Arabidopsis thaliana: one gene and its partner. The protein of the gene in region 1 interacts with the protein of each later gene in a pairwise test. Each region holds a gene or a part of one and is shown in the gene's direction. Other genes may lie near its edges.

Region 1 (15,679 bases):
AAGGATAATGGTTTTTCCCCTTTTTTGTCTTCCAGGGTTCTGATTTAATAGCTTATGAAAGTCTTGTTGGTTGGGTTACGAAGAGCAAAAGAAAAGAAAAAAGAACTTTCTTTGCTCGAAGGAAAAAGCTTTGTTCTTGGTAGTCAGTTTCTGTATCTGAGCTTCTTCTGCAGAGAGAGAAAGGACAGAGTAGAGGGAAAGAGGTTTTTAATAGAGAGACTTGCGAGAAAAAGACAGTGAGACAAGACAGATGCGGGGAGAAAATACTATACAGTAAAAAAGACTACTACTATAGTATAACTCTTTATTAATTGTGTTCACAAATCTCTCTTCATTAATCTCAAAGACTATTTAAAATAATTGGTTTAACATTTGTATCAATAAAAAAATGAAAAGCAAGTCAGAAAACCCAGAAAGAACCACTCTGCAAGATGAAGATGGAGAGATAATAACCTGCAGTTTTTCTGTCTTTGCTGCTTTGGAAATACCAATCTCCATTTTTATATTAGTATAGCTTTTTAATTTGTTTTATAATGAAAACAAAAGCCTACTTGTTAAGAATATTTAATTAGTCTTTTAACCAAGTAATTTAGATTATTTAATGAGTAAGCGTTACGTCGATATAATTTGTAATTTGCATTTGTGACAAACCTAACTACTTTTAAATTTGAATTAGTATAAAATTCGTTTAGGTTCCTATATTATCATATCATACGGCACTAGATGTAGTACTTGCCACTCTATTTTCTTTTTTAACTGATTAATTTTGTACCTTCGTTCATAGATCTAGTCCGAAAATGGTAATATTAATTCGGGTAGAATCGGCTGAATTCTTGGTGGAATGAATCTGTTGCAGAAAAACTGAAAATATTATTTTGATATAATTATTTTAAAGCGTTATGCCAAAATTGACTGAAAAATTAATCAAACTAACATAACTGGTGGGAAAAAAAATGGAAACATGAGTTTAATAAATTCATCAGGCTAGTTGAACATGGATGGAGCCTCGAGAGAGAATCCCGGGTTAGCAGCAGCGGGAGGTGCGGTGCGTGATGGGAACGAGAACTGGGTTGGGGTTTTTGCTTTGAATATCGAAATCTGTTCAGCGCCACTAGCAGAGTTGTGGGGACTCTACTATGGGTTACACATAGTCTGGGAGCAAGGAATAACACGCCTTGAGCTGGAAGTGGATTCGAAGATCGTGGTTGGGTTTTTACAGACAGGGATACCGGATTCTCATCCTCTATCTTTCCTACTACGTTTGTGTTATGGCTTCATATCAAGGGACTGGTTAGTCCGTATTTCTCACGTGTATAGGGAGGTCAATCGTCTTGCGGACGGGTTAGCTAACTATGCGTTTTCTTTACCTCTTGGTTTGTATGTTTTTAATTCAGTTCCGGATTCTATTGCTTCTTTTGTTTTGGAGGATGTAAATGGGCCTGCGTTTTCAAGAACTATCCGAATGTAATTTCGTATTTTCTTTTTAATAAAATTGGCGGATTTTCCCCCTTTTCCTACCAAAAAAAAAAAAAAATCATCAGGCTTGAGAAACATTAAAAAAAATGGTTGTAAATGTTTATATTTTAAGTGATAGTTAAGTGAATTATAAATATTAAAAGTATTCAAGTAATTTCTCTATTAGCAAAGTTGCAGAGATTCTTGGAAGTTTTTTTGCCAAATAATTGTTAGCTATTCAAGATTTTTGTCAAAAACTTTTATACGGCGTGGTACGAGTTCATGTTGTCTTGAGTAAACATGACAAATGCATCCTTGTTTATGAGAACTCTTAGAGCAAGGTTAATCCACCTGAGGGTTTTTGAGAGGCCCGGATGCTTGAAGAGTATCGTATGAAGTTTTGGTTGTTGGAAGACCTCGGATTGCGTCATTGCGGAAATGTTAAAGCGAACGGCTTCCACAGAGTCTCAGCATATCCAAGGGAAAAGTCTCATGGGCGTCATCGCCTATACGTATTGCATTATTAGCTAGTTCAAAGATGTGGGAAAATATTTCATCTAACTATCACTTCTCTGTTTTTTTTTTTTTTTTTGACATCCATCTAACTATCACTTCTCAATCACTATGTATCTCATGTTTTCTTTAACAAATCTAAAAGAAAATGAATTCATGAATTGTATGTCAGAATGTTTAGCTAAACTCAAACCCCGAAGCTTTAAAATAATGGTAGAACGATGTCTCAAGAGTCTTAGGAGTCATGTATTAATTATAGAACAAACGACTACTTATGAGTTATTATATCTTTTACAGTTTTACTATAGACTGAAACCAAAATTTTCTGGTTCAAATTTGGTTAAGGTAGGCAAACTTTTGGTCCAATAATTTCTTTCATCTTTTATCAACGGTTAGATTTTGTATTCTATTCAATTTTGTATACAACAATTACATTCTTTTTGGGTTGATTTAGGTTTTACATTCGGTTCTGACTGAGGTAAAAAAAAAGATAGAAGAAGAGAAAATGAAGTAAAGAGGAGAGAAGTAAGTAATAATGAGAAAAGAGAAGCAGGTGGGCTGTGTCAGAGAAAGCTCAGAAGTAAAAAGCATAAAAGTGAGTAACCAAGTGGGTGGTGAGGGTTTGTTTCTCTTTGGGCTGTGATTCATCTTTGATTTGACTACTCATAGTACTTCTTCTTTTTCTCACTCTTACCCCCTCTCTTTTCCTCTATTTTTCACTTTTTACCCTCATAAAATCTTTATTCACATTTTTCTCACACTCCAATTCATTTAACAAAATTTTAATCACATAATACAAAATCTTAATCACATTTCCCTTTTCACGGTTTATCTTTCTATAATTTTAATAAGTTTCATATTATCTGATGAAAATTAAACATCAAACTTTGTTATTTATAATTTTAGTAAATAGATTTTTTTTCTTTTTTATTTCATAAGAGATTAAGTTATTTAATGTAAAGCTTCTCTTGACTGTATAATATCTTAACTATATTATTCTTATAAAATTTCTCAAATTTCAATAACCGTATTATGTTAGTCTACAAAAAAAATTATATTACATCAATATTCTTACATACCAAACTAAGATATATATTGTCCAGTTCTTTTCATGGCATATGTATTTTACATGCTCTATTTTAAAAAATTACTACGTGTTTCAATATCAGTATTGTTGAAATTATACACCCTCCAACGAGTAAGGAGATAACCCATTACAATGCATTGGCACTGATCTACATGAACATGACTGACCAGATTTAACCATTCGAGCAAACAAAATAATAAGTCAACTATATTTTGAATAGTCACAAAACTATACATCGTAATTACAAAACTATTTCTGACATATAAGATTAATAGGTTAAAAGAACCACCGTCGAATCGTTGATGTACGTAGTAGTAGTATCGTATTAACGAGGCAATGATATAACTATCAATATTTTTCGTAAGAAAACACAAGTTTCCTTATTCTTTTCTTACGTCGGCGATAAAAGTTAATGTCGTACTTTGATTTATGAAATTGTGATGGAAAATTGTTTTAATTAATTAAGAAGAGAAACGAGTTATTTGTACAAACAAATCTGAAAATATAGAAATAGAGCAAAGGACAGAGAATAAGAAGAAGAGGCAAAGGAGGGCGAGAGTTCACATGTTCAAGAGAAGACAAATACGTTTCTCTGACACAAATCTGTCAGACCAATATTTTTAAATATTTTATTGTATAGTTTTTATTTTGTTTTGTTGTATGAGAAAGAAACGTATATTATGTCTTTATTACCACCACAAGGGGTCAGGCTCCGTCCACTTGGGGTCCCAATTTTTTCTTTGTTACGAGTTTTTTTTTGTAGTAAAAGGCAAGTCACGCCGGCACGCGAGCCCTCACGTGATCCCACGTGCTTTATTTATTCTCTCCATACCAAAATTTCTTTTCCTTTGTTGTTTGGTAAGGTTTTTTCTTTTTTGGCCAAAATATGATATTGGCGAGATTGAAAACATGTATATTTTTAAAAAAAATGTAGGCGTAAAAATTATGTTACTAACACTTCATTAAGCATATGCCAAGATTTTTAAATTAAAATTTATATATCACTATTGGTCGTTTTTTTTTTTGTGTGTGACAGCAGCTCACTATTGGTTGTTTATATTAACCACATACTAAATAAGGCTAGCTACTACCAAACTTGGACCAGAACCTAACACATGATGTTATTTTTAGTAATATGAAAAAAAAGAAACGAAAAGGAAAAAGGAAAGAATAGATCTTTCTGGTGAGAGAGCATACACAACACATTGGTGACACAAGGTATCTAAGGGCATGACCGCACGTGTCAACATGCATCAAACATGCGATCTTTCAATATTAGTATTATATATTTAGCAAAGACGCAAAAGAATCCAAGGCAAAGACTACTTCGCCTGCATGTCATGCCAATCTCTCTCTATATGTTTTCTAATCAATATACTAGATTACTAGACAAGTTGTTTTCTAATAAGATCTCTCACATATGAGCCAATTTGAGCCAAAACATGATATGATGGATAAAGCTTATTTGGGTATTGAAAGTATAGAGACTGTCAATGAGAAAGTAGTCATTTGGGCCCAAGTACAGAGATTTAAACCTTATCAGGAAAAGCCCAATCCAGTACAAACTTGAAGAAAAAGATTGATCTCCTTGTAAGTTGCAACTGGTAAAGAATAGGACCTTTGTTCAAGGTCTACTGTATTGAGATACTGAATTAGTATAAACGGCCACTTAAAACTACTTTGTATTTGTTTAGGCCCAAAACATTGGACTATCATGTTGAGAAAATAAACACGAACGCAACAGAAGTTTCCTACTTATTATATAGCCCAACAAATATTGATCTCTTTGCTTCCAATGAATCTTTGTTAAGGCCCAAAAAATACAAAGCCGAAACTACTTCCATCTTGTACTATTTTTAAGTTTATTTTTTGGAAATTTTACCATGTATGATTCAGATCGTTGGTTTAAATTTTTACAACTAGAAAATAGTATATACTCTATTAGCCTATTATGATATTAATTAATGGGCAATATTTCGATTAGTTTACGTGTAGAGTGTAGTGATAATGTATTTAGGTTTTGACCGGCAATAATGCATTTGTAAGAAAAGTCTTTGGACAATAATAGCTTTGGTCAAGTCAATGTAGAACAGAAGACTAATTTCTCTTGACAAAATATTAAACCTTAAAAACAAATCCTGTCAGACCAAAAGGTGATACGATTGTAACTTACAAATGATACTATATATTTTTATAGTTAACAGTCTAGTATTTAAAATTTTGAAATATTGATGATCATTGATTGGTTCATATAAGTAATCCATTAGGTTTTCATGTTGGTCAATACAGATGTACATGTTTTCAGGATTAATATAGGTTCCGTCCTATGAATTTATCCGACCATGCATAAGAGTAACTCTTTAATCTACTATTACAAGTTTTCAGGATTTGAAAGCTCTATACAAGTTTAACTTTATGTGTATATTAGTTAACGTTTGTAACCACAGATTCATAATATTTACCGTCGAACTCTTAGCCATAAAATTCGGACTAAAAGACTCGATTCAAAAAGGTATCGATGAGATGGAAAGTTGTTGAACTTATTGTATAAAAGCTTAGAGAGGATATTGATAAGTCGTCTTTTGCTTTTGTATCTACAGCTATGACGTATATTGTTTAATCCAAATCAAAGTGTTTTAAAGATATTTTGGTTTCTGGTGGAGGTGGTATACTAAAGATTCACATATAGATAGAGATATTTATGAATACATTGATATGAAAATCATATACAATATGCTAAAGAACAATAAATGGTACACATATGGATTGGTTGGATATGGTTGGCACTTGGCAGTTAGGTCATTTTCGTTGCTTTACTAAACTTTAATAAACAGTCTGTAACATTTACATTTATATACGCCAATGCCAAAAAATTCTTTATTTTATGCAATGGCACATTTTCTGCTTTTCCTTTACAGGCAAAAACTCTTTCTTTCCTAAAGATGCATTATTTTTCCATTTGATAAAATAAAAAAAACTTGACGGTACAAAAATACACAGAAGACAATCGAATTAAGTAATGACTAAGTATTAAGATTAGGTGAAATGGTGTAATTAAACCGATGGGAATAATATAATTATTATTTAAATACAGAAACAGAGCTTGCTTTACCAAATACCACCGAAACCCACTAAGAATACAGCAAATCGTCTCTTCGCCATTAAAACACCTTCCTTTGCAAACAAAGCTTCAAACTTTCTCTTAAAACACCCCCAAATCAGCAAAGATAGGGTTAATCGAAGAACCTCACCGTAAGTCCACTGAGGATTCAAGTTCTTGCTTTGGTTTAAGGAAGAAGAACAGCAAAAACCTCAAGGAGAAGAAGAAGTCAAAGATGACTCAGAGTCAAACCAACGACGGAGCTGGAGCTGGAGCTGTTACGACGGTAGAATCTGTTCCTCCTCAGCCTCAATCTCAGCCTCAGCCTCAGCCGCAGCAGCAGAGCAACGAGATGGTTCTGCATACGGGAAGCTTGAGTTTTAGTAGTCATATGTCGAGAGAAGACGAAGAGATGACTCGTTCTGCTCTTTCGGCGTTTAGAGCTAAAGAAGATGAGATTGAGAAGAGGAGGATGGAAGTTCGTGAACGGATCCAAGCTCAATTGGGTCGGGTCGAACAAGAAACCAAACGTCTCTCTACTATTCGTGAGGTTTGAATTTTACTCTGTTTCCTTTTCAAAGTTAGAGTTTTTAACATGTTTGAGAAGTTGTTCTATTTTGTATAAACCCTAGAAGATATAGAGATTCGATGTTTGTTGGCGCATCTCTGTTTAGGGTTTTCAAGATCTAGGATTTGGCTAAGTGAGAAGAAATGTTTTTGTACTTTTTCTTTGGACATGTACTGTTTCTTTTGATGGAGTTATGTTGTGTTGTGTCTTGTATAGGAGCTTGAGTCTATGGCAGATCCTAGGATTTGGCCAAGTGTAATTGTTGTTATGATTTGAGTTTTGATGGAGTTATGTTGTGTTTCAAGGTAAGAACTTGTGTTGTTTCTTGTAACAGGAGCTTGAGTCTATGGCAGATCCTATGAGGAAGGAAGTTTCTGTGGTTCGTAAGAAGATTGATAGTGTTAACAAAGAACTCAAACCTCTAGGTTCCACTGTTCAAAAGAAGGTAATGTTTTGTTTAGCATCATCTGTGTCTTAGTAGCGTTTTGAATTGATGTTTATGGCAACCATCTGAATCCCTAAAGGCAGAAACTTTAACAATCGGGTATGCCATACCGAATAAACTATTTTGCTATTGTTGAAAGGCTGAACAAAATTCGATTTTTGGTAATGAAATGAAACAGGAAAGGGAATACAAAGAAGCACTTGATACATTCAACGAGAAGAACAGGGAGAAAGTACAGCTGATCACAAAACTCATGGAGGTTAGTTCCGAGTTCTCAACTAAGTTCTTAATATGTAGAAACTGCGGGAACAAAACCGAGTTTTCCATCGCTTGTTATACATAAATGGTGTTTCTTTTTTCTTTTTGGGGAGATGGAACAGTTGGTTGGAGAAAGCGAGAAGTTGAGGATGATTAAGCTGGAGGAGCTGAGCAAGAGCATAGAAACCGTGTGAAAAAGGTTGTTCAAGAAGAACTAATTGGGTTCTTTTGTGTGATGTACCTACCTAGTTTAAAATTTTCATCATGTAAGATGTGTGGGTTGCTTTTTTTTTTATTGTTATAGTTTTTTTAAAGTCTTTGGGGGTTTGATTTGTAAAATTTGTGGGTTCTCTCTTATTTTTGATTAACCAAATTTAGGGATATGGGAAAATGGGAGATTCTTAGGATACTGAAACTCATCACAGTGATTATTCTTTCTTTCTCTGTATTATGTTTTGTATCTGTCTTTTGAAGAATTTATTATTTTTTTTTGGCTTTTTAGTAAAGTTTCTTCTCGTTGGCAAAGAAGAAAAGTGACTCTCGCGTGCGTTTTTTGAAATCTAAAAGCTGTCGGAACGGCAGAATCTTTTCACTTGTTTATTTGCATAAATCCTTTCTGGTTTATACATCAAACCATCGAACTATACAAAACGGGAAATTTCATATTATAAAACCTCAACAGTTTTTAGCTATGTTACGCTGCCTTAAGCTACTATTCTACTATAGCGTTTGGACCCAACTGCAGGCCCACTTCTTATAGCTATACCGAACATACATTAGCCACTACTGTTTCTTTTTCAAATACTCAACAAATTTAGTTTTTCTCTAACTCTTTTTCTAGTATTTTAATTTGGATGTAAACGAAAATAATAAAACATCTTCTTCGTTTTTAAGCTAACATGAATTTGTGGTCTTGTTATTTGGTCTCGTCAATGGACCGGCGACATTCATGCCGTCATAGAGAAGATTTGATCTTTGATCTATACGACATCATACTCTTCTACCTTCATCATAGTAGTAATGCGTTCTTTAATAACATGCATTTTCTTCTTCTTATTTTCAGTGTAAATACGTTGGGGTTTTGTTTACTTAAAGCGTGCACATTTAGAAAAACAGCGTCAATCCAATATCATGAGACAACAATGAAATAATACATGTGATTTACCCGTTATAACGACCGTTTTTATTGCTTTATTTGGTGGGCGGGGTATGCATATTGAATTCGTCAGACTCTGCCTTTTATATATGATATTTTCTTAACTCGCTATCCTTGCTTTTTCATTTACATATTTTCTTTTTGTCTTGTTGTATTTGGTACGTTTATGTATATATGCAAACAAGACAATAAAAATCAAAACAAGATCGGCATGCAAGTTTGTGCTTTTGTTCATCAATTATTTAGGACGTAAAAAGTGAACGCAACAAAATACTATGAGCTTTGATATTTCCACCTTTTGTGATCACAAATCTCTTTCGTGTTTCTTGTCCTAACCAAAAGGCAGAGTTTTATTTGAAATTAATGACTTAAGACATTTTCGTTTTCTAGAAAAAAGACTTATGACATTTTACATATGAAATCAAATACATATATGTGCAATGTAGAAAATGGACCCAACACCCAAACGACAGTACGTAGAAAGCTGAGAAAGTAGTTCATAAACCAAACTAATATAAATGCAGGTTATCATAAGTCATCACAGGACATACATAGTAATTTTTATTACCTATTATTTTACTAGATGATATAGTGACATAGTTTGCTGTTACGTTGATAACCAGTTTCTCTCCCATACCTGTGTGTTATATTAATATACATAACTTGTCACATAATTTTGTTATATTATGTTATGTATCAATGTATCCCTTGTGGTTCAAAAATAAGATTTTCCAAAAGTATTTTCATTTTATTTACGTCAAAGTTTGACCACTTTCTTATTTATTTATTTTGCCATTCTGGTATTTTAATTTCTTTAATCGTTTCAAACTCATTGGTATTTTGAAATTTACCTCTTCAATTTAGTTAAACAATTTGGCCAACTACGTGAAACTCATTTCAGTCTTCATGTCTATGTTCTCGCACTCTTCAGAAAAAGTTCTAAATTTGTGTGGGCAAATTGTCAAAAATTGAAGACTTAATTTATTTTATATCAAACTGGTTAGATACGGACACGTACACTCACCGTCTAAAGGTGCCTTCGCCCTTAGGATTCTAAACGACTCTCATGAGTCATATGACCTTATGCTTTGGCTGCCTCTAATTTATTGACAATTTGGCTGTTACGTTAATGGCAACTCTCTCTTCCATACCAACTTTTTCACTGATTTTAACATTTTATTATGCTCACTTCAAAAATTTCAGACTGCTGCTTATACGTTGAAGTACTAGTATTTTACAGCTAGATTCGACTCAGTCCCAAACCAGATATTTTTTTCCCTTTCATCTCTGTTTTTATTAATAATGCAAAGAAGGATACATTGATGAAATACATAAGCCTGCGGAAACAGTAAGTCTGCTGAATAATATTGTATATATTATTTATTAGTACAAAATTCCATTATTTTCTTACTAATTTGTTACAAATATCTACTACTTTGAAAAAAAATCAATTAGTCAGAAAATAGTCAAATATTTTGTTTTATTAAATTTCCTTTAATAAATTATAGTAAGGCATGTACAGAATTAATGAAATTAAGTACACAATCAAAACTAAGTAAACAATAATGAAAGAATAATAAAAAAAAACATAGTAGGTTTGCACTTTGCAGTTCAAGTACACGTACAGTGGTTATCAACAGTTACCCATTACCAGCAAACGTGGATTTCTAGAGAATTTCAAAATAAAGTTGATTACTCGAATGGAAGCCAATATGTATATGTATAAAGTACATCTACATTTATTTATCCACTCACACATTTAATAACGACAGTCGTATTATTTTATTTTGATGAATAGTATCATGTCACGAAACTGCATTTGTTTTTCAATTTTTTTTTGTCGCAAATGTAAAAGTTTCAATAAATAATTTACAATATGTACGAATTATAATTTCCAAAAACGTTGATACTAATTCAAAAGTCAATTTTTTCTCCCGCGTATATTAATTAAAGTTTCTACCTAAAGTGATATAATGTTAAGTTTTTTTCTTTTTTTTGCTTCTCTCCATATGAATAATTTTTTTAGTTTTTATGTATACGTAAACTTGCATGTAACTACATGTCTACATACATTTTGAAATTTCAATTTAATATACGATTGTTGTCTTGCAACATTTACATCCATAAATAAAATCCGTCGGCAGATTCATAAATTGACATTTCATGGTACAAATAGGGATATTTTAATTCATTGGTCGATACAAAGTTTTGTCCTAACAATAAAATTAACTAAAAAGACAAAACAGAAATATACCGTGTCGTTTTACGTTCCACGCGTTCAGCAAAATCTTTTTGTCTGCTGCATGCTCAGATGGAAAAAAAGATCAGCTAATTAACAAAATATCTAATCAGAATAATCAGAATAGTCTAAACTAATGCAGCTTTACTTCATCTTAAATCTTATTCATTTTCATATATGTAAAGTTGGTTACGTTAATATTAAATCTTTAAGAGAGCGGGGAATCCGAGAACAAACAGTGTCTCTCCTTCGCTAAATTATTTATTTATACAGTATAGTATTACCAAATTGCAATTAATTCTTTTTTTATATATAAGTGGTGACAATTAGTGGACTTCGCTTTTTATGAGAAAAAAATATCATTCATATTGAGACAACAACAACTAGAAAAAATATTCTACTTACTGTATTATTTAAAACACAGATATGTCAATAATTGAAAAATATGTATGAGTGGATCAACAGTAAAACAAATTATATGTAACATATCATTCTACAACCTCTCCTTAAATCAATTTTTTAAATTCAAGCCAAAAGCTAAACATTAAATAAACAGTAGTGCCACATGAAATTATAGGTCGGACCATAGTGAAAATATCCACTATATATACTTTTTTTTTTTCAACTATCCACTATATATACTATAAAAACAAAACATAAAGTCCACAGATGCTGAGAATTTAATTAAAAGGAGTACACAGCTGTAAAGCCTACAACTTTTCTTTCTCATTTATGGTGCGAACCTTTTATTGTCCTGCCCAATGCAATTTTTTTAATATGAGTAATTAAATATATTTTTCGTTTTTATAAATTCAATTTTCAAGGAGAAAATAATTCGATGTATATGCATATTTTGTGTGTATATATTAGCAAATTTTCACGTGTGGACAATCTACGTCAATGGAGTATATAAACGTGTGTTACGTAGGACAAATCAGTCGTTGGATTAGTAGTTGCCAACAGTTGCCTTGATTAATAAATTGGTATCATACTCTCTTCTTTGTGTTTGTTAGGGTCAAGATAATATATAAATTTGTGATACTAATCATAGACATTTTACGACAAAAATACGGACCTGTTCATTACTCGAAAACTATATGAAGCCGAAATAGATAATGTCCTATTTTTCCTCATCATTATCATGAAATCTATTTAAAAAAATCAATAGTGGTGTAAAACAATTGATTCGTCATGATTTATAGGTATGATTGCTATTCTTGATTTCAACATCGTCAGATACTAAAAATTTCCCAATGAGTAAGTTAAGATTCGGACCACTGTTATTTGGGATTTCTTAAAATAAATAATCAACAACAGATTTCGTGCTATGCCCGGTAATGTTAAATGTAGAACATGGGGTGTTTTGTTTTACTTAATTGTCAATCATAAATCAAATATTCGGATTAGGAATTACGTCAAGTGCCAATTAGATTGTTATCACTAAAATCATATCATATTGCTTTCTAAACCAATTAACGTCAGTCCATTTATTTAAAGAAAAAATAAAGTATTTCACTAAACTGTCCAGTCCATTTCACCAAGTACTTAGATATTCATAAACACAAAATTAATCACTCAACTTTTAAAAATATTTCTTCTAGACCAAATCCTGTACCAACTCGTATTGAATGTTTCAGTGTAAAGTGTAAAGTGTTTTCTTAAAAAAATTAGTTAAAAAATAACTGAATTATCACAAAATATTTTCAGAACCTAGTCACAAATCTAATAAATTACATATAAAAGCTTCTTCATAGTTAAAAAAAACCAGTGATTTCAGTACCAAACAATAAGAAAAGCTAGCATATGATATATTTCTTTTGCTAAGAAGCATATGATATATTCAATATTCGTCCACGATCCACTGAATATTTTTTCTTTATTCCACTGAGATTTCTTTTCGTCGCTACTTTGAATCTGAACATTATTTTTGGTCTCTGAATCTATATGTTTGCTTGTCTTTCAACATCATGACTCGCATATCGATACTACAACTTCAACTCTTCAAGCAAGACACATGGAAATATAGGAGTTAACACATGCAAACTAGCACCCCCAAATTTTGTCCTCCTGGCTCCTACAATAGCTGGACCGAACCTACATGAAGCCGGCTTTATCTGGTTCTCTTCTCCAGTTATGATGTCAAATTTAAATCATTCATCCCTCAACAAGAATTGTCATTTTAGGAACCATCATCATACCGAGAGAGAGCAACATTTTATCTATAAATATAGTAATAGTTCTACTCTTATTTCTTCCGTGGTTTCTTGTAAAAAAAACTTATGCATGTTCGTTCACTAAATAGTAGTTAAATTTGCGATAAACGAGCGAGATATGTCATGCATAAAGGAGTTAAAAATTACGTGAAGTTATTTCAATGATCATGCAAGAAGGATTGAATGACTTGTAATTACGATCAAGTAATATAAAAATGGTCTATTTGTTGTTCCTTCGTTACCACAGTATGGTTCTTACATGTGAAAATGATTGTGCTTTACATAAATGTAGTAGTACATGAGCCCATAAAAAGTTACTGCTCAGTCGAGTTTTCACTAACCGGTGAAAAGAAATGGATAAATAAAAATATACACGACTACAAATAGACTCTTTAAATTTGACACGTAAACTCTATTTTTCAGGAGTCTTTGAGGCCCACTCTGATAATAATATGTCAACTAAACTTTCTTTTTACAAACAAAATTACCGTTGCATAAGACACATGTCGTCAATTATAATCCAATATGAAGAAAGAAAGAATATAAAACGAAAACTTTACTTTTCTTATTTTTTTCCTATTTTTCAAGATGCTAGGAAGTAGCCAAATCCAAAGCATTGACTCTTCTTTATCCAATGTCTCACCCTTTGTCTTCAACTGTTCCTCATCCTTCACCAAAATCTCTCTCTCTCTCTCTTCTTATAAGAAAAGAGCTAAAAAGCTTCCCTTCGTTTTACTATATCCATGATTCTGAATTCCACACACACTGAGAGAGATAGAGGGACACATTAAAAGCTAATTCAACTTTTCTGCAATGGCTGAGAAGGAGAAGAAGAAGCATTTACATGAGTTTCTTGAAGATGACCAAGAGCCTTTTCATCTTAACCATTACATCGGCAACCTTCGTTCTCAGATGGGTTGCTCCGATATGCGTGTCAAGAAGCGAAAGTCCGATAACGTCGCCACGTTTCCTCCTGGTTTGTTCTCCTGCGAGAACTCTTGTTTCTTCGCAGCTCATAAATCTCCTGACCCGAGAAAGTCTCCACTCTTTGAGCTCCGGTCGCCGGGAAAGAAGAAGATACGTGACGGTCGAGTTTTCCTTCAGATACCGGCGAGAACCGCCGCAATTCTCTTGGACGCAGCGGCGAGGATTCAGAAGCAGCAGTCAGAGAAGGCTAAGACCAATAAAGCTCGGACCAGAGGAAACGGGTTTGGTATGTTCGGGTCTGTCTTGAAGCTGCTGACATACCGTATAACAAAACCGCGTTTGGATAACGCTGATGGAAACGCAGTTTCGTTGGAACGCGGGTCGGAACCGACGAGTAGTAGCCGGAGAGAGCGTATCGTGGAGATTAGTGATAAATGCTTTTGTGAAAGCCCTTTTCATTTTGTTCTCCAAACAACTCCTTCTTCCTCCGGTCACCAGACTCCTCACTTTACATCGACGGCCACTTCTCCGGCGCGACGCAGTACTGAGGTTTGTCTCAATCTCTGTTTTTTATTTTATTTTATCAAAAGTCTAAATTATGGACAATTATGTACTCTAAATTTTATAACAAAACTAAAAAATAGTTTAAATTTTAATTAATTAAGTACTTTAAATTTAAACTTCTCATTTAAACTCGAAATGATATCCTAACTCTTAAATTTTATATATAAGCAACTTGTATAATTTAAAAAACATTTGGAAGATTTAACTTATTTTTGGAAAAGATAATTAAATTTTTAGAATTTTTTTCTCAATTATTCTAAATAAATCCACTACTAATCCATAATTAAATAAATTACCATACAGTAAAAAAGAGAAAGTAAAAAAACATTCTATGGAAAAACAGAAAAAACATCTTCTGATTAGAGCAGAGACACATGGCCGGCTGAAAATTGTCTGTTTGATATGACTGAATCATGAAAGTTTTTCAGGAAGTACCGTAAATATGTTTTACTTTAGATGACGGATATGCCCCTATTTCCGAGTGAAAATCTATCGTAGAGCTTGGTTATGGTGGGGGTGCTTATGTCATTTACAATCATCTGGTCAACGTTCCCCACACTGACGATTATTGCGCTCTCTAGCTAGTTCAACTTCGAAGTTTTCAAACCAATTAATTTTCTGGCAAATTACCAGAAACACATTTTTCTACTCCTTTTAATTTCAGTGGGTTAAGTCTTAATGTAGACCAAACCTTTTGCAATTATTAGCTACAAACTCTGAGAATGTCATTAACTTTCGCCAAAAAGTTTCAATGTTTTGTCAAAAAGTTGGGATCTATTTTGGGAAGTATTAATTGGTATGTTTACAAAATTCAAAAGTTAAATTTACCCTACTTTGTGGTTGTAGTTTTAAAAAAAAATGCATAGTAAAAAAAAGTAGTGTTCCGAAAATATATATATAGGTAACATGGAGAAACCCTTAATGGGCACGTAAAGTAGTGCCATGAGGATATAAATTTGAATTGCTAAAAATAGTAGTGATCCAGCGCCAGAAATAGTAAGAGACAAAAAATGTTGAAACCAAAAGTGTGTTAAATGAGTTGTAACAGGACGAAGATAGCGATGAGACAGAGAGCTTAGAGAAAGTGAGAGGACAAGAAGAAGAAGATAAAGAAGAGGAAGACAAGGAACAATGTAGCCCTGTCTCTGTACTTG
Region 2 (16,624 bases), 960 kb from region 1:
TCTCCATTTGTTCCTAAAAGCTCCGGCCATGAGTTCTTCCCTGTGTGTGGTCAAATCAACCACATCAGATTGGTAAATCATTTGCATTTGGTAAAACAGTAGGTCCAACGGTTATTATGGAATCAAACTATATATCCCTACTAATACTATATGGCTCTCCAAATATCATATATTGGGGATTTGTTGTGTAATCCATTGTTATTCAAACAATAGATGAAACATAAATCTGTGTCAATCGATAAACAATGCATGCTCCAAATTATAATTAATTTCCTCAAGAATGTGCTATGTGAAACTGACACATGAGAATTAAATAATAGTAAACGATTTGACGTGAGCGAGAAGAGAAAAGATTAAAGAAAATCGATAAAGGGCGGTACCAATATCAAAGAATGAAAAGTAGAAATTGAGGATGAAAGACGAACCAATATAACTACACCACTCGGTTGCCATTTTTCTTCCTCTTTTGTTTATGTATATTGCGATGATGTGATTGTTTGCTATGATTGTCCTCAGGAATTTGAGTCCAATTTATACAAATACTAGGATGTATGCAGATGTCTATGGGTTTGTATAACACAGAGTCAAGTTAGTTTCATTGTGTTGTCCTTTGCATTAGCCATTAGGTGTACCATATTTTCTTTGTTAGATAACACGTGCATGGTGTAAAACGGAGCGGTTCTTCAACTTTACTATTATTTAGTAGAACATTAACTTACTTTAAAGGAAAAAAGGATTTATACTAAAGCTTACTTAATAAATACTCTTACGAATTAATATATATGGAGGTGCAATCTCAAATAACAAGTTATAAGGTATTTTGCAAACTCAACACAAAATTATGGCTTTTTTTATAACAGTTCGTAACTCAAAATATATCTGATCGATCCGATGATCCGACCAAAAACTCATTCGGTTAGTTTTCTGCTCCGAAATGTAGAACATTCTTTTTTTCGGGCTATTTCTTAAAGCAACAAAGGAAAAAAAAGGCAGCTACTACAACCAAAAGAAAAGAAGACAGTTGACTTATCCAACTCAACATGCAAACGATGCCTTGTAACGCACCCAAGACATATATATCATTGCCCGTTTCACTTTCGTGTTTTGCGTTGTCCCAGAATGCTGCGGTTTTCTGGTGTAGAAGAAGTCTCAAGTTTGGATTTGTGTCTTCTTCTTCTGTTTGCTTCAAGAGCATTTGGTTCTCTGTTTTCTTTCTCTCCGTTCTCCTGCTGTAACAAAAGTTTGTTTTTTCTTCATCATCTCAGGAATCTTACATTACAAGATATTTGCTAGGTTCAATAAAACGAATTTCTTAGGAAGCATACCGAGTCGAAAAATCCCATCTTTGGAAGTGGTAACCTCAGACCAGAGTAGGATGATGTCAAGTCCTTGACTGCGTAACTTGAATACGATGACCTTATGTTAGATTTCGATCCAGATTGTTCTTCAAAACCATGATTCTTGTGTTTTTCCTTATTCCTCTCTTCAAAATAAAACAAAGATGTGCAACTTTTAAAGATGTTTTGATTTTCTTCTCGTTTTGAAGAAAGAATAAGATGTATCATCAATCATGTCCTCACCGAGTTCACTTGCAACACATTTCTTCTCGCGTATAGCTTGACTAGGAGTCAAAGATTTGGAGATGGATGATAAAGAAAAAGAAGAAGAAGAAGAAGAAGACACTTTTGGTTGAGGAATGAGACTCAAAGGTTGAACTTTCTGTTTGTATCCTTTAGTCCTCTTGACAAACAAAACCAATTAATAAGTAAAATTTAGATGAAAGCAAATGATTGAAACAGTTTCTGAGGTTTTCCGTTTACCTTTATACCATCTGGTAACTTACGATGGGTCTCTTGAGTTACTGTCTGCTTCACATTCGGTGAATTACGTAAAGAGGCTCTCAGGTCGTGGAACAGATCAAACTCAATGCTGGCCACAGAAAATCTGCTTCCTTGAGTTGTCGTCGTATCAGCAGACTTACGAAGCTGCGTGTTACTGGTGAAACCATTGTTCACAAGACACAACTCCTCAGCATCAAGAACACCTTAGCATAAATATAGACAATGTCAGCCTTGAATATACAGAGTCAAAGCTAAATTATAAGGTTTGATTGTTATATATGAGAGGAATAGTGGAATAGTGTGAAATAATTGACTAATCAAGTAGGGTAAAGAACTTTGAAGTAAAAAGATGAGACCTGGATCGGTAAAAAAAGCATTGTCCCAAGCAAAACTTGGACGAGCATCGGTTTTCGAAGGAAGTGTGTGATTATGATTTACTTCAACTTCAATCTCATTCTCGTCAATCTTTAAGCTCCCAAACAATTCTTCAGGATCTAACACTCCTACAAACCAAAGTGGTAAAATCATTGGAATCATATAATTTAACATTTTGTTTCTACACAAAACCAATCTATAGGAAATAGGAAGAAACCAGGGTTGGTGGAAAAAGCAGTGTCCCAGGCCAAGCTTTTGCGATGGTTCCATTTGCTCTCTTTGTGTGCCATCGGCTGCACAAAGTCAATCTTTACTCTTGCTGCTGCACAAAGTATAATCAGTTTCTGAAGACTAAAGAGATTTTAGATAGGAGAGGAAACAGAGGAAGATGATTCTACTTGATGATGAACCAGCTTCTTGAAATTCCATAGCCTGTTCTTGATTTTGAAAAATAGAATTTTCAAATTGGAAAAACAACAGCCTTTATTAAGAGAATTTATGGAGAGACAAAATTTTGAAATTTGTAAGTTTTCGTGATTTAAGCATTTGATTACTCTCTCAAAGCTTTTCAATTCAAAGCAAAATTAATTGCTGCCTTTACTTTGTGATTTTGTAAGTGTAGTATTTGATACAGATCAACTGACTTAAAATGTAATTGTCTATACCCAAAACAAAGGTACTGTACAAATTTAATTTAAGGATTTTGTATTAAATGAGAATAAATTAGCTATGAAATTCCGAAAGTGAATCGAAAATAACAACAGGATGTGGACAAATTTTTCCTTCATTCAAGTGTTCTCAACATCTAACAGAGAAATCTTTAAATACAACCAACTAAACCGGAAACAATAAACCAAACGTTCAAACTAACATAACCGAAATTGAGAGTAAACCCGAAATAGTTGTCGATCAGCTCAACTATAAACAACTCACTGATCTCTAATTTCCCCTGCACCGTTTTAGAGAATTTCACGTTAGACAAACAATTTTGAAACTAGCCATAGTTCATTCACACAGCAAAATATAACATGATCAGCAAGTTTACAAGGCATGTCCTACTATCATCAGTTGTAACGAAGTGAAGATTGGATATGAACCTACATGCATATAGACTATGCTCTTCATTTGTGTACATGAGGCCGTGTGATAGAGAGAAGAATTACTTGATCATTTGGCGATTGTTCTTAATCACTACTTGCAACTTCTTTTACCAGCTCTGTGATTGAATCAAAATGATGAAGTCAGAGCTAAGTACAATATAGGCTGTATAGCATTGGTATCATCTATACTTGTCAAAATCATACCGGCATTTCTTCACCAGAAACACCGCCACCAGCATCTCTATTTGATCCATCTCCACTCTTTCCTGATCCCTTATTATCACCCTATCATAATTTCACAACAAAACGTAAGAAGCCAATGGGCAACACTGGAATGGAATATAAAGTAGAAATAAGTATGTGGTTTATTTACCTCCAACTGCATCAGCAGGTGGTGTGTCAGCAACCAATCCCAGGGAATGAAAAGAACCGAATTAGTCTCAACTTAATAAGAAACATTTTGATTTTATTATGTATGTTAACAACAAAAGCACAAAAGAGAGAGTAATAAATGTCTTTCAAAATTTACTAATATGCATCCTGACTGTTGGTCTAGATTTATCTTTCTTGCTTCAAAAATTCTACACAAGACGTATTGAAGGGATTGTAAAACTGCTATCATGGCAAGCTTCGATGTTACTCACAGCTACTAATCTCTTGACTAGGATATTAAGGATTTCAGAACACATGATTAGGGAGTCAAAGCAACATACCTCCCTGTACCTCGCTAGGTATATCTTTAGAGGTTCCAGGTAATCCTCAAATCCTAATGTTGCCATTGCCCACAACAAATCATCACCATTCACAGTTTTCCTTTTCTCTTTTTGACACTTATCACTGGCCCTGATTAGCAGAAACAGATACCAGTCAATTGGCCATTACAGTCAACGAATCAACATAAGACCAGCAAAAGAGACTTAAGCGCAACATCAGACAAGCTTATCTTGAACCAATAGATAAATCATAGTTTCATACATGATAACTTATTTCTTCCTAACAAAGAACGGGGGCATCTGATGTTATAAGAAACATAAAACTCATCAATCAGAGACCTAAAACGCATTCAACACAAGCAATTCCTTCATGATGAAAAACATATCTTTTGCCTTAAATGAACAAAAAGGAACAAAAACAAACAGATCCTAAAGATAAAAGAATCTTTGAAACATGATCAAGATACGGCTTTTATACCCTAAGATGGTTAAATGAAGAAAAAAATCTAACAATTTATTTGACAGAGTTAAGATATAACACAGTAGAAGCATGTGAAATAATCTGCAAAATGGTCTATAGGAAAGGAACTAGGTTAAGGTAAACCCATACCAAACAATGGTTGATTAACATTGTGACAAAAAAAAAAACATAATCTTTGCTCTATAAACTTCAAAAAACTCTCTGAGCTAAACTCAATCCATAGCTAGTTTAAGAAAACTATCTCTCACAAACCCAAAGTTCCAACAAATGATCAATTTTTTTCACCAAAGAGCAAAATATTTTCCAACAAATTCGATTGAAAGAAGAAAAATTGGGAATGCATACTCGCTAGTGATGAAGCTGATGAACTCAGAGACGCATTCCTGAACTGTATCCTTAGCATCTTTTCCAATCTTACCATTAGGAGGCAACGCTTTCTTCATGATCCTGCTGATATTAGCTATAGGAAGGTATCGATCCTGCTCCCTAACGGAACCGCCGCTTTCTCCGCCATCTCCAGCTGGGCTCGAAGGCGTATCCGCCATTTATACTCTACAGAAACAGAACAAACACTCAATTTGAAACCTAAACATGGTCGATGAAGCTAAAGTAAACAACAAAAAAGGAAATCGAAAATGGCGTACAGATTGGGGAAGATGGAAACCCTAGAACTTGGAATTGGGGATAGTCGTTTTAGTTTTAGGGCTTTAGAGAAATCGAATTTTTCTACGAAACGCTGCGACTGGTGTTTATATGATATGATTACACGTTTTTTTGTATTTGTTCTGTATTAGCTTTTGTAAAAGTTTTCAGACAAGGATTAATTTGGTAATTAATTAGACAATTTAAGAAAACTATATGAACAATTTGACTAAGGGTGACTTTTTCAATCTATTGTATAATAATTAGATGAGAATTTAAACATAAATTCATTTAATTTTTCAATGAATTATCTACGTAAATAAATCATAGAAAATTAAGATACTCTAATAACAATACCAACGACAATGTGGATTCAAAGTGCCTAAAGAACAAATTCTTTTACTTATGTAAAAAATCCTAAACTTTAAAGAACAAAAATTAAAATACAAAGATAAGTAATTAACATTTTATTGGGCTTCTAACTGGATTTGGTTCTATTTATTTGGGCCTACGTTTGAAAACCTCGGTCTTAAAGAATTTGTGTCCAGCTCCAGCACAAGGAGAGGCTTATAGACCATATGTCTTTTGGTGTCTGTTTCAATGGGCTTACATGTTTTGTTTTCAGGCGGCCTCGTCTTCTTGACACACACAAGTTTGTAACATTGGGCAGTGTGAAACATACACAAAACTAAACACTAATTAATTCTCAACCACAAATATTTAAGTGTGATGGTGACTTGGTCTCATATAATATGTGATTTTGTAATTTTGTTCGAAACCCGCATATAGAGTTGTTACCAATTAATACCTAAATCTTTATTCCGGATACGTGCTTTTACCAATCTTAAACAGACCAAAAGAAAAACTATGACTAAGTTGAACTGTATATACGTGTTTTAAACTGTATATACATATCAAATTGAATATTAACTATATGACAAGATTATCAAACGGGAACAAAAAAAAAACTATATGACTAAGTTGTGATGTTGTTTGTCAAATTTTATGTACGTCAACAATTCAACATAATTGACATTATCGTTGTTTGTGTGTGTGACAACAATTGATTATAGTATTTTTATACATGAATTTTATGAAGGACAGTTTGGTCATTTTTGTCGGCTAAGTGCCAAATTTGGCAGAAGCGTTTTTTTGCATGCAAACAGAATTCAGTCGACGCTAGAAATATTTTTCACCTTCGTTTGTTTTTCAAATTTCGACATTATCTTAGCCTTAGAAACCTTATCTTGTTCTCGATAAGGTTTGAACATCGTGATATAAATATGTACATTTCAAAGCTTTATAAAACAAAATCAGAAGTGTCAAAGCTTTTACCAAACAAATTAATAATGTCAACGAAGGGGCTATTAAAAGCTGGTTTCGTCAAAGTTTGACTTTTGAATCTGCAACCTCACCGACGACACCGACACCAAGACGTAACGTACGTATCCGATTCTATAAATGGGACTCAAATCTCTAAAGGTGAGCATACAAATACATCAGAAGACTACATAAATATATACAAGAGTGAAGAAAAATGTCGACCGAATGTCCTAGTAAGTTTTTGTATTTGTATTGTATAGTTCATAATTAAAGTTTTATATGTTTGTAAATAGTTAGCTAATGTTCAATTAGATATGGATTCAAGGCATTTAAAATTGTAATTCAATAGCTATAACATATATGATTACATTTTCTAAAGTCTGTTAGAAGGTTAATTATGTTACATATGGTCAATCCATGGTGATGTTTCTAGTTCTTTTGTTTTCATTTACTCAAATATGAGCTTCTTGATCTCCAAAATCCCAAACGTAAATGATTGACCGATCTAACGTAACGTGATCGCAGGGAAGAACTCGTGGCCGGAGCTTACGGGAACAAATGGTGACTATGCGGCCGTGGTGATAGAGAGAGAGAACCCCACCGTCAATGCTGCCGTGATTTTGGATGGGAGTCCGGTGACCGCAGACTTCAGGTGCGACCGGGTCAGAGTTTTTGTTGATGGAAACCGTATCGTCGTCAAAACCCCCAAATCCGGCTAGACTTGTATAATTTCTATATTCATAATGAAAAAGCTATAGACGAGTCGTGGTTGGTTAGTAATCAATCATGTAAAATAATAATCGTTTGCCTTCATAATTTCTGTGTTACTGATGCCTAAAGTTATGAATGAAAATAGTATCCTATATTTCAATTTGTAATGTTTCAATTTTTTTTTGTCAGCCAAATTTTTTGATTTAAAGTTCAAAAGAACAGATTGTGATAACGATTTCTAAGAGAAAAACACGTGTGGCAAGTGGCAACGTGTAGACAACAAATGGTTGAGGGGAGAAGGAGCACCCCGACCTAGTCCTCCGCCTTGAAGCTCTTCCAAGCAAGAATCAGGAAAACCAAAAATTAGCAAATAATGGATAATGGACCATTTCAAATAAATAAAATAATAAGTGAAGTACAAATTAATAAATTAAAGCAGGCCTGTTTTGCTGCCAAAATAAATAAATTAAAGCACTTATGATATATACAAATTTTAGAAAAAGTCATATGATTAACAAAATTTTACAAGAGTATTTTAAGCTAATAGACCGTTTAGTGACTAGTGTGATCATCTTGTAGAGGTCTATTACACGTGTTAGTGACTAGTGTGATCATCATACACATGAATTTTTCTACAAAATACACATGGATTTTTCTACAAAATACACATGGATTTTTCTACACATACACATCCCAGAAGCTCTCCTAAATCCAAGCTTTCCACAACCCAAGGGTCCCATGCATAGTCTAGGTTTATCGAGGCCCAAGCTTAGCTTATGCATACATGCTCCTTGTAGCCAATATGCTCTAGAATCCTGACTCCACAAACATGAGATTCATGTAGCTCAAGTTCTCCATAGTCCAGGCTTTGGTAAACATGGCTACATATCATTCTTTAGATTTTCTAGATTCTAGCTTCCGAGAGACCGTACTCTGAACGTTAACTCACGAGTCATGTGCATTAAATGAAATACATACACGACGTTTTGTATACATCACATTCAATCTACCAAAAGTATTATTTTACACCAACCAAATGGATGTAAAATAATACAAAATGGAACTATTCAACATAAGTATACCAATTCAATGTCCATTTCATAAGTATACCAATTCAGCCACATATAATAGTTAGCAGAAACTACATACCATTCAAAGTTATAGCTAGTTTATATATTTGTAATAAGGACTTTTCACCAGTTGGACTTTGAAGCCACCAAAAAAAGTAGGTGAAAGTGAGTTGGTGGGGGGATTCAAAAGTTCCACATGACAAATAGATAATCAGTATAAATAAGATTAGTTCTTCTTATATTGTCTTATTCAATGCACACAAACATTTACCCAAAATGGCATCGGCGGTTCAGAAATCAGCGTTGCTCTTATGTGGAGACTACATGGAAGCCTATGAAACGATTGTTCCTCTCTATGTTCTCCAATCGTTTGGGGTTAGCGTTCATTGCGTTTCACCCAACCGCAACGCCGGCGATCGCTGCGTTATGTCTGCCCACGATTTCTTGGGCCTCGAGGTTCCAATTTTCCCACTAAAACGAATTTCGAACTTTCTTTTTCTTTGTGATAATTCGCTTAATTTTGTTTTTCTGTTCTAAAAAAGCTATACACCGAGCTTGTCGTTGACCAGTTGACTTTAAACGCAAACTTCGATGACGTCACTCCGGAGAATTACGACGTCATCATCATCCCAGGAGGCCGATTCACGGAGCTTCTCAGCGCCGACGAGAAATGCGTTGACCTCGTGGCGCGATTCGCCGAATCCAAGAAGCTGATCTTCACTAGCTGTCATAGCCAGGTTATGCTGATGGCGGCCGGAATCCTCGCCGGTGGTGTGAAATGCACGGCGTTTGAAAGCATAAAGCCTTTGATCGAACTCTCCGGCGGTGAGTGGTGGCAACAGCCTGGGATTCAGAGCATGTTCGAGATCACCGATTGCGTTAAAGACGGGAATTTCATGAGTACGGTTGGTTGGCCAACGCTTGGTCACGGCATTAAGCTTTTGCTTGAATCTCTTGGTGGCAAAGTCTGTAGCTTGGAGAAGAAGCAAGCTTCTGTGCTTTTCCTCATTGGGGTGAGTAAAAGGCGTAATCTTTAGTTATATCAATCTTGTTTTGATCATCAGACTCGTTGAGCATTACTCTGTTTTTAGGACTATGTAGAAGATTATGGGATCAATGTACCGTTTAGAGCACTACAAGCTTTAGGTTGTAAAGTGGATGCTGTGACACCGAACAAGAAGAAGGGAGAAGTGTGTGCAACGGCGGTTTATGACCTTGAGGATGGACGGCAGATTCCTGCAGAGAAGCGTGGACATAACTTCTTTGTGACTGCATCGTGGGATGATATATGTGTGGATGATTATGACTGTGTAGTGGTTCCAGGAGGGAGATCACCTGAGCTATTGGTGATGAATGAAAAGGCTGTTGCTTTGGTTAAGAGTTTTGCAGAGAAAGATAAGGTGTTTGCAGCTATTGGACAGGGGAAATTGCTTCTTGCAGCCACTGGTGTTCTTAAGGTAAAATCATCACCTGTCTTTTCTTTTGGGAGGTTATGAGCTCTGTCAAAACAGAAAATGTACTTGGAGGAAATAGTATTCACTAATCTTGTAATGAATATAGAAAATGTGATGTTGAGGATACAATGGTGATCCCAATGTTTATATCAAGTCATGCTTGTGGAATCTAGTAACTAACTAATTTTGTTCATGTGGTGTTTCTCTTTATGGATTTGCAGGGGAAGCGATGCGCGAGTGGGAAAGGGATGAAGGTGATGGTGAAGGTGGCTGGAGGTGAGGCTGTGATGGAAAAGGGATGTGTAACTGATGGGAAGGTTGTGACGGCAGCATCAGCCACGGATCTGCCTGCCTTTTTGTTTGATTTATCAACTGCTCTTGGTCTAACTGTCATGTTCTAAGATTTTGCAACTAAAAAACATAAAAGATAGTTTGAGTAATAAAATCATATCTTCAATTTGCTCAATTGAAGTGAAAAGAAAAACAAAAGAGCTCGATTGTAGTGTCTCTGCTTTCATGAGTTCATGGCACTCCTAACAAACTATATTGTAGCTGCTTCTTGGAAATAAAAGCATGTAGTTTGGTGATCAAGCTGATTTGTGTAGCTGCTGCTTCTTTTTGACCACATAAAAGATTTAGTTTGCATAGGATATAGTGACTAACTTTTGAACCCCTACTCAAAACCATTAGATCAAAACAGAAGAATATTTCTTAGAAAAGTTAATATCTTTTAGCTTGAATACTCTCTTTTTTTCTTTCTTGGATTGCTTGTGACACCATAATCTTTTTTTCTCTTCTATATCATCATTCACTGGGTTTTAGCCATGTCTCTTCTACGTTTTGTGTCGATGGAAACTTTTAAGTCACCTCAAAGTCTACTTCTAATACTCGCCTGGATATGGATGAAAATCTTTGTCCAAGAAGTACTTGACTACTGGATCACTTCATCTTTCCCTAAGATTAAGTGTTTTTTTAAGAAAGCAATATGAGGAATCCAAACTATTTGCAGTGAGAAGGGAACACGTCGTCATCTACTTGTTCATCCTTTTTGAAATAGCAGATTTGATGCGCTTGGACATTACTTTTGTCTTACGTAATCATACCAAAACTTCTCTTATCAGGGCGTTTGTTATGAGAATTTGTTTAGACCTTGATATCTTATGTGTAGTCATATTTCTCGTTCATCCAAATACGGTTACATATAGATTCCGTGCCGATGTCGAGAAGATGGAGGATACGAACGATGGACTGCTTGTTAGCGATTCCCCAAAGTCACCCAAAATTGATATCATAGCGATTCCCTATGTAATAATGTTTAGCTGCTAGCTGGCTAGTGGTTTGTTCATGTTTTTTTTTTGTTCTACTACTAATGTAACTTGGTCGCTTCTAAAATTTAACTATTTCATTTATGGTTTTGTTTTTAGGGCCTTGTTTTGAGCTATAGCTTGTTCTGTTTTATTGGCCTTATAATCTAAAGAATAGATTAAAAGAGAAATCTAAGAACAGCAAAAACAGAAGAAGATTTTATAAAATATGTCTTTGCACAACGATTCATGAATCCAACAATCAAAATTGCAACACGAAGGTTCTGCTTTCATAAATTTATAATATACCAACATAAACAAACTACTTTGAATAAATAAACAAAATAAAAACAGACTCTAAGGTTTGTTAGCTCAAATTAGCTGTGATTGAGAGAGTATAAAACCATTTATGTATATGAAGAGTTAAACATTACAAAGGCATTCTATGTAAATGGTACAATCAAACCAACTTGGATCGATCAATCATCCTCTTTCATTCTTCTGCGTCCAAAAAATTGGTAGTAACGGGCAGAGAGCTTCTGATGATAAAAACAACGAGCATGCCCGAGAAGATGCTATAAGTATAATGGGAACGACGAGGAACATGTTTTTACTCAGACCGTTCCCTATTCCGGCCATTCTTCTGGTTGTTGTACAGCGGAAGAAGCCAGCGAGCCCCGTGTTTCCTCTTTCCATAACACCGCCAATATAGCACACAAAGTGCAATTATGCAGACTATAGGAATCGCCCATCTATTTACCAAAAACACAAACAAATTTAGGTGAGCAAAGAGATTGAGAGAAGTTTGCTCAAGACTTGTTTCTGTTACCTGTCCAAGTCGAGAACAGGACTATACACGACATTTTCCCATGTCCCAACGATGAAATGCCAGACTGGGTTGTAATAAAGAGCTTCTGCTGTCCAGAACATCCTTGTGTATGTCTCCAAGAATATGAAAAGTATCCACGCCGCCATTTCTAATAAAATGAATTTTATGATAAACCGGCCCACAACCACCATTACAAGAGAGAACCCAACCAGCCAGTTGAACAGTCGGTTATTGTATTCTTTGATGAACAAAGACCGTGACTTTCCCATCATCTGCACACAAGTTCTCATATCAAATTACAGTTCAATACTTATCACATAACATAGACATGTATATATTACCTTAGTTAATCTTTGCTCATAATTTTGTTTTGAAGGACCAACACATTGCTGCTCAAACGTTTTGTTGCAGTACACAAAACCTGCATTAAATTTAGCCATGGAAGGGAGTCGGAGAGCCTGTAAGTGGTCCATGTCATCTTCACAACTTGTATATAGCGCCTCACAGAGCTTCGACGATTGGTATTCATTTGCAAGAACAAAATTCTTATATACCTGGACAATATTTCAAGTGCACAAGAATGAATAAGAAAGTAATTTTGGAAATCTTATTTTTCCGTAGACTACCAAATTTGCCAACACGAAATTCAGAATCATCCCTTTGTTTCATCCACTAAGCCACACTTAATAGAAATTCTATATTAGCATAGGAATTCATACCTCCTGCATTTGTTCATCCAACTGATCGACAGATTTCTTTGCATGTTGTCTGCCAAAATGTTGTGCATCAAATGCTTTGATAGCTTCATTATGCGCCATTTCATGGGCACTTTGGAGAGATTCTTCGGACATAGGTAGTCGCACTCTTACCATCTTCTCATTGTACAGCTTCACACATCTCTCAACAATATCTTTATTGAAAACCTCAACTAGTGATCCTGTTGATGGGATCTCTCCTTTATTTAACGCATCCAATATCTAGCAATCAGAATTGGAATATATCAACATACCATTTCGTAAGCATATAAGGCATATTATAGAAATCATATAAGCCAATAGTGTTACATATCAACAACGTGTACTTATGCTCATCAGATTTCTAGTAACAAATACATCACTTATAAAAACACGCACTCATAAATTGATACGTAATGGGATACCACCATAGCACCAAAGGGTATGAAACTATAAGTATCAAGGACAACATGAATCAAAATGACCACATTAAAAAAAGTTCTCTACCATTGTTTATACAAATTTTAAGAACAAGCTAACTGGATAACTTAAAGTAGCAAGGAAACACAGCCATCCATGAGAAGAGAAAACATGTCTATTTACTTGATAAAGTATGTAAGAGCACCAGAGAAAGCAGCCACTTATTCCTTTTGATCTTTCAACGACACACTTCCACTCAGTCATATAAATGGTTTGAGATATTTAAAGCATACAACCATACAGAAAAAGAAATTGACACTCACCTGTTCCAGGAAAGAAATAAATTCCTTCCCGTTTAGTGTTTTCCCCTGCACTATCTTTGGGCGGATAATACTAGCAACGAGCTTTTTCAATTGGTCACGCCTTGCAACATATGTAGAATCCAGGTCCTCATCCTTCAGATCACACAGCTTCGTACGCATGAGATGAGGCTATATAACAAAAACAAGAACAAAGTTATCAAAACGAAGACCACCCTATCAAGGCAGCAACAAAGATTCCACGTCTGAGTCAGATCAGACAATGATTTCATAATGTTCCACATGGAAGAAAAAATAAAATTTCCTCCCAAGAACTTTGGAAAAGCTATACTTCAAGGATACACAAGCACTGAAATCTAAGGATTTTGTGCACACTTCAGGATGACTTAAAGTTAAAGGTAACCACCACAACCACACTAAGAAAGTTTTGTATTCGCGCATGATTCAGCAAAGATATTCAAAGATAACCATAAATGTTCATGCACAAAGATAGCCATTTTGATTAAAGTTTCATGCTCTGTATTTTCTTTCTGAAAGAAAGGCTGGAAAATATGCAAAGTAGAACACACAAATGCCTTACCTGCGGTAAGCTAAAGGCTGTGCTGTTGTCACCCATTATAGCCAAGGAGTCCCGAATCTGGTTAACCTGAAAAAGGAGACAACAAGAATGATTTCTGAGATAATAATGATGATTACCTGTACGATGCAGAACACAAGAGAACATACCTGGTCAATATTTTTGTTACCTGAAAACATAAGAAACAAGAAAACACAATTAACAAAGGTCTAGGAGACATTAGTTGAAGAACAAAAAGGAGCGCTAACCATCTTCATTAGGGACATGTCTGAGAGCTTCATCCACCATTTGCTTCACCGATTTCCCTTCTGCATAAAGTTGGAAACTTGGAATAGTGTTAATCATGACCAGATCACTTGCATAAAACACAGAGAAAACTGGAACATTGAAATGGATCACACAGGACCAGGAGCACACAAAAATACTGCTTGTTATATCAGAGAAGAGAAAGAAAAGCATTTCAAAACAGGCAGAGATTACATAGAATATAAGCACTGTTTAAATGGAACTATTATGAATGTTGTAGTCAAAAGCACCATGCACTTACGCAGAAAATCACGCTGGATAAGCCACAGAAGCTTTGACGGTTCAAAAGCAACATCTTCACCCTACAGGATATATAAAAATCAGAAACGAAGTTTTGAAGGATGCCATGGATCAAGAATAACAGCCATTCCGTTAGGGTATACCTTTACTCTGTCAATTGAGTTGCATGAGCCAATCAAACAGAACCCAGTCAGTATTCATAGAGGCAGGCAATCATATTAAACAAGACAGAAATGCAGAGTACAATTGGGCAAACCTTCCATAAAATTCTTCCGCAAGCTCAACAGCAAAGGAGAGCCGAGAAATATCAGCTTCACGGATCTGATGAGAGCTCATATCAGAGAGAGAAATTGTAGATGAAGTTCTTTTAAATACTAGCTACTCTGTTACACATCCATATTTGTATACTTCTAACTAAACATCACAAGGGATTGTTTGATACCATATGAACTACCTAGGTCTGAACTACCTAGGTCTTCGAAAACACTTTGGTCTTTGGTTTTACTAATGACTTGATAGTTGATATTGATATAAAGAAACCCCTGTAAGGATTTACTCTCTTTGATTATAAGTATAATGTATCTAGAAGCATAAGCAATCTGAGCAAACAAAGAGGTAGGACAACTTACAGTTTCAGGCAGATTATAGATAAGCACAGAACTCATAACCGTTGCCAGGGCAAAAATCCTGAATATTTACACAGAAATTGATTAGATATTCAGAGCTTCCGCAAAGAAAAGTTTAAATGTGCAAATGTTGCAACTGTCTGGGTACCGGTCATCATAAACATTTGACTTTCCAACACTTTCGAATCCCTCAGTGTCGAGGTAAATTACGGAAGTTTTTACTCCATCAATCTCCAGCTCTAATGGTGTTCCCCAGACCCAAATACCTGTATGCAACAATGAAGTGGATTCCGAACCAAAAAGTTAAACCTTTATTAGCTAGAAATATATATATGCAGTTGAAAGATGGTAGTGTCCTCTAGACATTATTGCTATACCTTTTGTTTTGGTATCACGCATGTGTCCAACACCAAAACCTGATGAATTTGAAAATATTGGAAGTCAATGTTGAGTAGCAAAAAGTAAGTAAACCGCAGAGCCCGAGTATATGAGATAAGAAGCACCTTCATAACAAGAAAGAGAAAGAAGCTGATTGAGTAGAAATGATTTTCCAGAACGATATGGGCCAATCACCTAGTATTTCAACACCAAAGGAAATAACAAGCAAATCGTGAGAAACAAAGTAACAAATATCTTGGTCCGAGAAAACCAGGTTCAGATAGAAAGAACATACGAAGAATTGATAATGAGTCAAACATCACTGTCACATACCGCAACAGCAGAAATAGGAGTTGTAATTCTGCTAATTGCTTCCAGACCTTCTCTGCTAAGCTGAAGCTTTGTATGACCCGGAGCAGGTTCAACAATAGGAAAACTGCATAAAAAACAAGCACAAATGATTTCCAAAAAGTGTTTGCCCATCACAACTGATCAATCATCAGGAGCTGTTTGCTACAGTTGATGACAGGAAATTGCTACTGGTATACAGTGGTAACATTCTCTAGCAACAATGTGGCTTATAACAAACCTAAGACTTGAGAAACAACTGGCAATAGACAATACATTATCAAGAAGATTCATAGGTTCTCATGTAGACAAAAACAAAAAACCTGTCTTTCAATCAAATATCAGATCCATTGCTACAATGTTGTGTATTTATTTCCCATTGCCATTACTACAACTACAAGATGCGGTACTATAATAGTCCAGAAACAAAGATAAAAATCAAGACTTTAAAGCCAAATTGTGATAATTTGCCAATTAGAAGAATACAAATCTGAGGGAATGGCAAGAAGAGAAGAAGAAATTAGACTTACGCTTGGTGAAAATTATCGATGGAGAGAGACGTTGACGACAAGAGACAAAGAGAGAAGAAGAAAACAAAGGTCCGGCGAGGAATCTCCATGATTTTGACCAAGATAGAACACGATCCGTTATCAAAACCAGATTGCCGTTTAAAGTCAAAAACGTGGGAATTGAATTGAGACAGGACCCAGACTTGTAGGAATTAGGATGAAGAAGAAGAAGGGATCTTGGAAACCTGGGGAAGTGGGTGTACGTTAAGAATCGGTGCACCCGCAGAGATGAGGAACACTGGATCGCAGGCTTCCTAGCAAAG

The links.
Region 2: the proteins of AT2G36410 (region 1) and YLS5 interact in a two-hybrid assay, tested with the Arabidopsis thaliana proteins (one large-scale study listed by BioGRID).

The regions. Positions count from the first base shown.
Region 1 is NC_003071.7:15,272,651-15,288,329, forward strand, and holds AT2G36410 (transcriptional activator (DUF662)), read left to right. Parts: upstream 1-6,118; 5' UTR 6,119-6,390; coding exon 6,391-6,705; intron 6,706-7,057; coding exon 7,058-7,168; coding exon of another isoform or gene 7,169-7,201; exon of another isoform or gene 7,202-7,346; coding exon 7,347-7,427; intron 7,428-7,539; coding exon 7,540-7,620; 3' UTR 7,621-8,076; downstream 8,077-15,679. Other genes in the region: TRM27 (nucleolin-like protein), read left to right, coding at 13,848-14,510, 15,574-15,679.
Region 2 is NC_003071.7:16,227,116-16,243,739, reverse strand, and holds YLS5 (Class I glutamine amidotransferase-like superfamily protein), read left to right. Parts: upstream 1-8,372; 5' UTR 8,373-8,532; coding exon 8,533-8,712; intron 8,713-8,798; coding exon 8,799-9,269; intron 9,270-9,347; coding exon 9,348-9,713; intron 9,714-9,931; coding exon 9,932-10,111; 3' UTR 10,112-10,881; downstream 10,882-16,624. Other genes in the region: AT2G38900 (Serine protease inhibitor, potato inhibitor I-type family protein), read right to left, coding at 1-40, 381-453; AT2G38890 (uncharacterized protein), read right to left, coding at 1,092-1,229, 1,326-1,483, 1,581-1,740, 1,821-2,044, 2,198-2,344, 2,434-2,535, 2,615-2,645; NF-YB1 (nuclear factor Y, subunit B1), read right to left, coding at 3,424-3,432, 3,521-3,601, 3,690-3,760, 4,026-4,159, 4,856-5,055; AT2G38870 (Serine protease inhibitor, potato inhibitor I-type family protein), read left to right, coding at 6,690-6,708, 7,001-7,194; AT2G38840 (Guanylate-binding family protein), read right to left, coding at 11,625-11,766, 11,844-12,115, 12,185-12,397, 12,563-12,820, 13,321-13,488, 13,898-13,963, 14,044-14,063, 14,143-14,202 and 9 more. UniProt on the Arabidopsis thaliana protein: May be involved in oxidative stress response.